Linked DNA regions of Saccharomyces cerevisiae S288C. Changing the gene in region 2 together with the main gene of any one other region gives a genetic interaction. Each region holds a gene or a part of one and is shown on either strand. Other genes may lie near its edges.

What was found.
Region 1: mutations in PEX18 (region 2) and PEX21 impair growth when combined (synthetic growth defect), as found in Saccharomyces cerevisiae (3 studies listed by BioGRID, with this or other methods).
Region 3: mutations in PEX18 (region 2) and YGR035C together harm fitness more than expected from each alone (negative genetic interaction), as found in Saccharomyces cerevisiae (2 studies listed by BioGRID).

Annotation. Positions count from the first base shown.
Region 1 is NC_001139.9:968,669-972,113, forward strand, and holds PEX21 (Pex21p), read right to left. Parts: upstream 1,386-3,445; coding exon 519-1,385; downstream 1-518. Other genes in the region: KEL2 (Kel2p), read right to left, coding at 1-19; PFK1 (6-phosphofructokinase subunit alpha), read right to left, coding at 2,103-3,445. UniProt on the Saccharomyces cerevisiae protein: Receptor that mediates peroxisomal import of proteins containing a C-terminal PTS2-type peroxisomal targeting signal via its interaction with PEX7.
Region 2 is NC_001140.6:418,709-422,074, forward strand, and holds PEX18 (Pex18p), read right to left. Parts: upstream 1,365-3,366; coding exon 513-1,364; downstream 1-512. Other genes in the region: TDA11 (Tda11p), read left to right, coding at 1-355; YAP1801 (Yap1801p), read right to left, coding at 1,665-3,366. UniProt on the Saccharomyces cerevisiae protein: Involved in peroxisome biogenesis and the import of peroxisomal matrix proteins that contain the peroxisomal targeting sequence PTS2. Required for peroxisomal targeting of PEX7 and growth on oleate.
Region 3 is NC_001139.9:556,468-559,373, forward strand, and holds YGR035C (uncharacterized protein), read right to left. Parts: upstream 956-2,906; coding exon 605-955; downstream 1-604. Other genes in the region: 60S ribosomal protein uL24 RPL26B, read left to right, coding at 1-205; YGR035W-A (uncharacterized protein), read left to right, coding at 1,098-1,319; CAX4 (dolichyldiphosphatase), read right to left, coding at 1,682-2,401.

The DNA.
Region 1 (3,445 bases), on a different chromosome or scaffold from region 2:
TCAGCTTGAAAGGTACCATAGCTACTTAAGGGGTTGCCTGCCTCATCCAAATCATTTTTTTTTTTTGTTACAACCTATGCTAAAATTCACGTGTACGCATTTCAAAATTGAAAAAAAAAAGAGCAAGCAACACCAAAACCAAACTTCATAATAAATTAGTATCCCAAAAGACCCTTTCACAAGGTAATTACTTCCTTCGAGACTAATTCGGGTTTTGCGAAGCTTTTTTTTTTTTCTTCACAGTTTCTCCCAAGAGAAGAAAAAATTCACAAGCGTGTCATTTCGTGCAGCTTACATCAGCACAATCCATGCACAAAAAAGGTGTAGTAAGTTTTAAACGAGAGAGATGGGCATGACAGTAGGTAGGGCATGCATCTGCAGGAGTGAAGCTGCGATACTCCTCAGCGCAGAGAACACATAAGGGCACATATTCATGATTTTGATATTCTTAGCTATCTGTAAACATATATCAACGTATGTAGTAGTTACAAGAGGTACAATTGTAGAAACTGCCTATATCAATCAAGTATGTCTTTGTGAATTTCGTCCTTGACGAAAATGTGCCTGTTTCCGACCAGTTCCCCGTTGTTGGATGAGAATAACTCGCTTGCGGAATTTCCATCTGCATTTTTCTTTAAAGTCACGTCACCGCTACTAATGTTTCTCATTAACTGAATAAACTTCGACTCAGATAGTTTTGATTCGACAGAGGAGGAAAGAGTAGAAGAGGAGGATGCAGACGAAGGCGGTGGAGTACAGCATTTTACTATATCTGTGGCAATCCTTTGCAGTTCCGACTGATCTTGGTCGAACCATTTCTCGTCCCGACGTGTTATGGGCTCGTACCGCTCTTTTTGAATTTCTCTCTCCAAAACTTGGAACTCCGCGTCGAATTGAAACGCATCCGTTGGGTTGTCCCGGTTTCCTTGGCGTTGCTGTCGAAGCGTCTTTTGAGGTGGGTAAGTGCAACTTGTCTTCCTTATCATACAATTCTTAAAAGGTAAGTGTTGTCTGCTTGAATTCAGGCGCTGCTGTGACTCGTAATTGGAATACAACCTTTTATATTCTGAGCTAAACTCTAGTGAATCGTCAATCTTCATAGACGAGAACTGCGGAACCCAATCACTGGAATCTACAGTGTTGTTTGGAGTAATGAAGGTTAATGGAGAGGGTTGATTTTGATACCTTACATTGTCAATGCCGTCAAAATTACTACCATTATGCAAAAAGTGTTTTTCCACATGCGAGTCTTCAGTGGCATAGTGTGCTGTTAATTCCGTATGGGCCAGCTTGGTGCGTTTTGACGGTATTAAGGAATCATTCTGTATGCGATGCCCTTGTTGGATAATCTTTTCTATCGGGCTTGTATGGCAGACACTGGGCATGGTATTCTAGTTTGGTCTTTATAATTTTTCACCTGTTTCTTTTTGAAACAAAACCAAAGTATGCGGCGTCAACCTTGACTATATTCTCTTAAATATATATCTGCCGTTCTATCAGAGGTTTGAACATTGCCAATGCCTTAAAGAAATATTTAGTCATCCCATCTCCGATTATCGGCACTAGTTTCCATTTTTCCAGCGGAAAGATAAAAAGAAACGGAAAGAAAAAAGGCCGACAAATAAACCAAACGGTATTCGTAGACCGATGACAATACGACTACAATTAAGGTAGCGCGCCTCACTATGATGTGGATCAGCCTCACATTCAGAGCAATTTGTAGTACAGCAAAGTTGCCGATGTCGTCTTCGTGAACCATTGTCAACGCAGATTAAGCACACCCTAAAACTTGAATAATGCAAATTCCATAGCTTAGTTTAATCAAGGCGCCATTATTCCTCAGTTGAAAAGTATATCTAATGGTTAGGATTAGAAATATGTTCATTGCTCATTGTTATGTGTATCATATCGTACAAAAATTATATAAAGAAATAATAATGAAAAAGAGTAAAACAAAGACAAATAGACAAAAATAGAGGATAGAAAAAGAAAAACAACAGATACATAAATAAGTCTTATGACAAAAAAACGATTGTATAAAAATTAAAGTGCATGCCATTTTTACCTCCTTTTGCTTAACTTAAACTTTTCATTGCAATCATTCATTTGTTTTCAGCGGCTAAAGCGGCTACCTCAGCTCTCAACTTTAATCTACCGGACAGGATGTCACCAATCTTGTTGTATTCAGCCCAGTGAACTTCAAAACCCTTTCTTAATTCAACGTTGGTTTCGTTTTCCCAAAGGTTAGCAATTGGCTTGAAGGAAACGTGAGAACCATTAACACAGATAACAGCAGCAGAGTCATCTTCGTGCTCAACAGTTGGTACCTTTTCACCGTGAGTATCGAACTTGAATCTCAAAACCTTAGCGTCAGTGTTTGGAGAAGCTTCATTTTTCTTGTTCCATTGTTCGATAAACTTGATACATTTGACAGCAAATCTGGAAGCGGTGACACGGTCTTTAGAAGATGGAACACCACCTTGTTGAACATGGCCTGGGATAGCAGTTCTAACACCAAACTTACCCTTGCTTGCTTCAGAGATGATGTCAGCCAACAATTGAGTGCTATATACGCTAGAAGCTTGTTCGTTTCTAACCAATAGCTTACCGTTTCTGTTTTCACCTTTGTCGTGACGAAAGTTCTCTTTTAATAGAGTTATATCTTCTCTGATAGAAGCTAAGTCGATCTTCTTTTCTGGAGTGTACACTGAAACAGCACCAGTGATTAAACCAGTGAAAGAAGCGATGTAACCAGAGTGACCACCTTGGACTTCACAGACGAAGACTCTTCTTCTTGTCGCAGAAGCACTCTGTTTGATGTCATCAGTGTAATTGACTAATGCGTTCAAACAGGTATCAACACCAAGTGAGTATTCAGTACCTGGAACGTTGTTAGAAACAGTGGCTGGAATCAAACACATTGGAATGTTAAAGATTGGGTGTTGGGTTCTACCGTCACGCAATTGCTTCAAGGACCTGAAACCTTCAAAACCACCAAGAATAATCAAACCGTCTAGCTTGTTCTTTTGGAAGTAGTAAGCAATGGTACCCAAATCTTCTGAAGCAACAGATCTGTTCGTACCGATTTCGGAACCACCCAAGTTATGCCAGTTTTCGACATCAATCCATGATAGTTCCTTCACTTCACCGGTTTGAATCAATCCACTGAAACCATTCATGATAGCGTATGGTTTATGGCCGTGAGACAAACAGTATAGAGTTGCGGCACGGGTGGCAGCGTTCAAAGCAGCAGATGGGGCACCAACATGGACAATACCAATGTTTAGTCTGTCAGATACTGGCAATAATTCGGAACCATCATCTTTAACGGTAGTGGATAAGAAGTTTTCGTAAAGTTCAATAAATTCTGTGTCTCTTAAAGAAATTGCCTTATCGAAATCTTTGTTTTCAATGGCAGTGGCAACAGATTTAGTCAACTTCACAG
Region 2 (3,366 bases):
GGCCGGATTACTCGGTATAGAAGAAGAAAACGATAATGATGTTATTACTGATAACAGATGTGATCCTGTATATAAAAGCGATAGACAGCATGAACAGAAAAAAAGTACACATAAAATTACGAACCGGGGGCAAGCAGAAGATAGTGGCGACGATTCTAGTTTAAACATGAGGAAATTTAAAACGACAACTAAGTTCCAGAAAGACAATGCTGGGAATAATAGTCTCACAGATGAAAGTGGACATCGAACACGAGAAAAAAAAAGTAAAAGAAGTAGTAACAAGCTAAGTTTTATTGGAGAACCCGATAATGATAATTCCTCCGTCAAAAACTCAGTTGAAATGACAGACTTCTAATTCCTTTTTCAAAATGACGTTTATTCTTCACTTGTCACTCTTTTTACGTATAGCTGTGAACGCAGTATGTAATTTAATACTGTTTTCTCTTGAAAGTGGTTAAAAAGTGTTATATATCTGAAATTCATGGTTTAAATTAAAGAAATTTCAAGGCCCGTTAAGCAATTCTGTCTTCAACATCATGGAACTCAAGACCAGCCCAGTTTCCTGAATTCTGAAAACAAAAACCTACGTGTTTTTGAAGGTTTCTTTCTGTACCGTTATCCTTCTTTAAAACTATAGAACCATCACTAATGCTGCCCATCAGCCCCATAAACTTTGAACTGTTTAGTCTTTCTTTTACATCTTTATTGGCACTATTATTATCGCAAAACTCAATTATATCGGAAGCCAAACCTTTCATGGCAGTTTCTTCATCTTCCAGACTCGTACCTGAATTTTCCTCTTCTGTATGGACATCTTCTTCCAAACTACTGGCTTCCAGTTCCGAAAATTCAGCATTAATTAAAGAATCAATGTGGCTGTTGATAGGATGTTCTAAACCTGTTGTCTTGAATATCTGATGGTCAACCACAGGGAAGGAAGCAATGTTAAAGTTTTTCTGTGAATAAAAGCCTAAGGGAAAATCTGTCTGAGATGTCCGTAGCCCGTTGTTTATATTAAGATTCGCGATTTGATTTTCGATGGGCGGTTCAACATTCTTAGGGAAGTTATATCTAAAATCCTTGGCCCAAGAAGTTTCATTGTCATTTAGATTTGGCGCTTCAAATTTGTAACTTTGATCCTCTAAGGTTCTAGGACGAATATTTACGTAGGACCGTGATTGATTCAAATCTTCTGAGTGTTGTAGAAATTTCAGCTCAATTTTATCCTTCAGAATCGGTGGTGAATTCAGTCTGCTCCCGATTTTGTTAAAAGAGAGCGTATTGTCCCTGCCCGTAAAAGGCCCCTTTTCTGTACTACTAATAAATTTATTCACCTCATTCGTTTGGCATCGGTTACTATTCATTGTTTGTATTTTATATCATTTGTCCATTGAAGTTTAGACAAGTATCAAATACCCAGTTTTCGTCTTTTCCCTTATATAGGTCGTCTCGGAAATAACAATATAAACTCCATGGTGCGGCGCTATCGAAATCTTTTGTTGGCGGGAGGAATTGAAGACAGTAAGATGTAAGTATTACATACTATAGGACAAATGCAAAATATGTACAAAATGGCAAAAATTACATAGCTCTTCCTTACAACTATATATAGCTATCCAAAGATGCACTTGAGTACTCCCTTACATACCTGATTATACTAGATATTACATATCAATTAAATTGAGGTTGTTAGCATATTGGTTTCCTAAAACTGGTTGCTGTGTTTGAGACTGTTCCGGTTGTGGTTGCTGTTGTGGATAGAAAGGGAAATTTTGAGGTTGAACTGTCCCAGTTATATTTGTAACAGGGTTGGCTCCTGCAGTTGCAGGCACATAATAACCCTGTTGTGGTTGCTGTTGTTGCTGTTGCTGTTGTTGCTGTTGCTGTTGTTGCTGTTGTTGGAGATGATTCTGAGTGTAGTGAGCCTGAAATTCCATTTTATCAAAACGCTGAGGAATATTCATCGATCCCTGCATGCTAGTAGGGGTTGTCATAACGCTATTGATCGAGCTCAAAGGCATTTTTTGTTGTTGAAATTGTTGTTGATTGTACGTTTGGTTTTGAAAAGGGTTACTTATTATCTGTTGTTGTAGCGGCATATTGGTATTTTGTTCATCAAAGTTTGGTCGTGAAAATGGGTTATTTAAGACATTTTCGTGTGCAGGATTCCCTGTTGCGATCGTCGCGGCGTTGTGCAATGCGAACGGGTTGTTAGAACCAGTTTGTGAATGAGAGACTTGTTGATTAGAAGCGGCAGTTGTATCCTGTGAAACGGAGTATCCTCCAAACCCTGCACCTGTAAATGTGGGTGTTAAATGGTTGTTAATCGAATAGTACCCCGTTTGTTGGGCACTTACGCCAGCATCTTGTACAGGGTTGAAGTTCACTGTGTGTTGGACCGCTGCATATTCAGGAACGTTTAAATTTGCGGGCTCTGTATGAGCGGTTGGTGTATTCATCACCTGTGGCTGAGTTTGAGATACAAATGGGTTATTTGCGATCTGTTGCGTTTGATTAGCCACAGCCATTGGAATGTTAGTATGCATAGAAGAGTCTGTTCCAAACGGGTTGTAAGATTGAGCCGCCGTGACAGTAGTTAGAGCAGGGGAAATCGCTACTTGTTCGTTTTTCAATTGTGCCTCTAGTATCCTTTTTTGTTCCCGGATTTGCTCCAACCTTTCCTGTGCAGTAGATTTGGCTACTACGGCCCCAGCACTTCCTTGAGAACTGTCAACGGGCACAAAAGTGTTGTGCGTCTTATCATCCTCTATCAGATGTTCTTCTAGCGATCTGACCAGTTTGGTAGTGATATGCTTGATGACGGGTATTTTCAAGCCCGCAGTCTTCCCGCTCTTCAAGTACCTGACAACGTGCTCGGTCAAATCAACAAACGTCTTGTACAGGTCTAGAGTTCTCTCTGCATTATGATGAGATAGTTCGAAAAAAGACTCCAGCAGAGTTATGATACCTTCGTTGAGAGCATTATATAGCGCTAGCAGGTCTTGAATAAGCAGCTTGAAACCAAATATGATCAATTCGTTACTCAAATCATATTGTGTATACTTGTTTTTAATCAGGGCTTGTATTTGTACCTCTAGGGACTCCACATGATCTAGTGCTATATTGATAGAGTGTTGCTTGTTTCTGGAGCTTCCGTAATTGCCACTGTTCAGCTTCAGTGTTCGATAGCCGTCTCTCACATAGTCCTTTTTGATTTTACCAAACTCCCTGCATCTCACCTTCAGATAATTATCGTATCTATCAAGTGCCCTCATGTCTCCAGACGCACTGCCATTGGAGCCACGTATGTTTTCAATGTCAAAAAACTCCAGGTTCCTAGAGTAGTACCGCAATGCAACATCTTTG
Region 3 (2,906 bases), on a different chromosome or scaffold from region 2:
TGGTTCCAAGAAGGGTCAAGAAGGTAAGATTTCATCTGTTTACAGATTGAAGTTTGCTGTTCAAGTTGACAAGGTCACCAAGGAAAAGGTCAACGGTGCTTCCGTTCCAATTAACTTGCACCCATCCAAGCTTGTTATCACTAAGTTACACTTGGACAAGGACAGAAAGGCTTTGATCCAAAGAAAGGGTGGTAAATTGGAATAAACTAGCTCGACTTTAACATAGATCATACAAAAAATACAATAAATAAATCCTGTGTTTCTTTTATGTATATTTTTTATCAATTTCAATTTAGTTTAGTTTAGTTTCTTTAAAAATAAAATTGTAATTTCTCACATTCTGCCTTCGGGTCTCAAGGGCTGGTTGGTAGACGAATGCGCTTGTTTCTAGCTGAGCGGCAGATGCATGAATTCAATGCAAGAAAATGAGAAAACTTCCAATATTAAAATGTGATTGTTAATTATTAGTATATTTATGACAATATATATATGTACATAGGGTGATTATGAAGATGAGTAAGATGCGAATGGATATGAGGATATGAATCTTTTTAGAGACAATGAAGATGCAAAGAAGTAGTTAAGCACATTGACCTCAGGGTTGCTATATGCTACTTTTAGTCCGTTGGATTTCTGAAGCAGTATTGGCCACAAAAATTTCTTCATTATTTCTACGATTAGAGTTTCTTCTGGATTTTTCTCGTCCCTGAGACTTACTCCTTTTCAAGTCATTTTCAGCAGCAGCTTTGATTAAATCATATCTTGTGATTTTACTTGGAGAGCTATTGTGATGGGAACTTTGTCTGCATGTGACTGTATTAGTCAGAGATGTTATGGGCTTAACCATAAGGGAAGAAACTATGGCACGCATGAATGAATTACTGCTTTTACTGCTGTCATCTGTTGAGTTTGCTGAGTCTTCCGTTCTTGTAGTCTTGGCTGGTGTGAGTAACATTACGTATTGTTTCTGTAGAGAAGATAACTTATAACTTCCGTCTTGTCACTAGTTGTTTTAATTATATGTTTGTTACAAGTTTTTATGTATAGATATATGTTACAACTTTTAGAAGTATTGTGGACATAACAGAGAGAAGGGAATGTTGCTATATTTATATATTTTATATATTGCCCTCAAAACTGTATCTCATCTTTTTTTCTGCAATCCTTGCTTTCGTAATCTAAGTGTGGGTGACATGCTAAATCCGCGGCTTTCCTTAAGCTTTTTCACAAACCATCTATTATGTCCAGAAGCTCCGCTGATTATCCGTGGAAAAGGGTCTTATTCTGCCGTAGGAAACTTCTTCTCGAGAAAAAAGTGAGTTCACCCGCGGCGCTCTCGTAAAACCCGAGGGCCGATTCTTTCCCTCCGTGGAACAATCGGCCCCGCGGCGTCAGAGGGTATTATCTCCGCAAGTGATAGAACTCACATTTATTCTACGTTCTGCATGGTTTTGATTATCTTCTTTTGCACGATGTCACATACTTTTTCGATTACCGTCGCTTTACACAGTAACTGTTTAAAACGAGCGTTCTTAATTAATAACTGTAGGAGAGCAGGCTTTCGGCTTTCTTTATGAGAAATAAGGACTACTCCAGCTTGCCAAGTTTTATCCAGTTACACAAACGCTCAAGATCGCCTCGCTAAAATAGATGAAAAAATAAGAAAAATGAAATGTTCAACCTAATCCCTTTTGGATTTATCATTGAAAGATCGCTGATTTATTCTTTTCCAATACGCCTCGTAATTCTCTTTCAATGTCAAAGGCGCCAGATTGTAAGAATCTGTCATGTAAAATAATCTGACAATACGTAGTTTTAAAAACCAATTGATTAAACCAAGCTCTCTTATGATGCCAACTATAAAAAAATAAAGTGATCCAGTCAGTGCCCCCACGCTGAATCCCACGATTACTTGATCTAAATTGTGGTAGTGCAAGTAAACTCTGGAAAAGCAAACGCAAAACGATAATAAAGCCAATGCACCAGAAAAAATGCATTTTTCTAAGAAGTTTAGATTCTTCCAGGAAGTGTATATCTTCAGAGAGTTATAGGTAAAACAAAACCCCATGAATTGGGAGTGTGCACTGGGCATCCCGTAACCGGATCTTATAGTGTCATTTTGGAACGACGCACCGAACGATACGGGGCGTGGCTGTTTTATTATATTCTTGATCACGTTATTGAATATTTCGTTCATCAATTGGCCAAAGGCTACAATGCAGGCTTCTAACTCTCTTGTGATGATAAACCACGACAAATAAAAAGCTAGCACTAGGATGGGCATCAGCGAGAAATATGCACTAAGGAATGATAGAAAGTCATGCGAATCATAGAGAATGTATGTGTCATCGAATGGTATAACATTTGGATTTGGATTTATTGCAGCGGCGGTACTATTCATGATATGATCCGATTCAAAACAAATTTTGATGTAGATAAAATGCCTGGTATAATGAGTGGTAGAGAAGAAAATTAGACGAAAAGAATGAGAACGAAGAAATGATTTAAAGTGATCACAGTGGCAATCACTTTCCCCTTTTTAACGCGTGTTGAGCAATCGATTGATGTCTCTACCATATGTAGCATTTTCTCAGAAGGCAAACTTTTCTTTTTCTTTCTACTTTTCCAACAAGAAATTTTAAGTTTTCCCAGAAACCCGAATTCTCCTATTTCATCCACCACGTAAGAACGGTTTTCTTCCTGGCGTAATTAAAAGCATAAAGAAAAACTGAACAAGCTCTAGATGTAGATCAGGGTATACATGGTGCGCTTCAGTAAGTGTACTGTACCACTAGTTTGGCGTCTGTCACTTGAATTGCGGATTTGTGTAGAGCAATGAAAGCGCTGCTTCTGCCGCCATCAAAAAAAACTGAGTAGTTATTAAAGCCTATGTATGACAATATAAA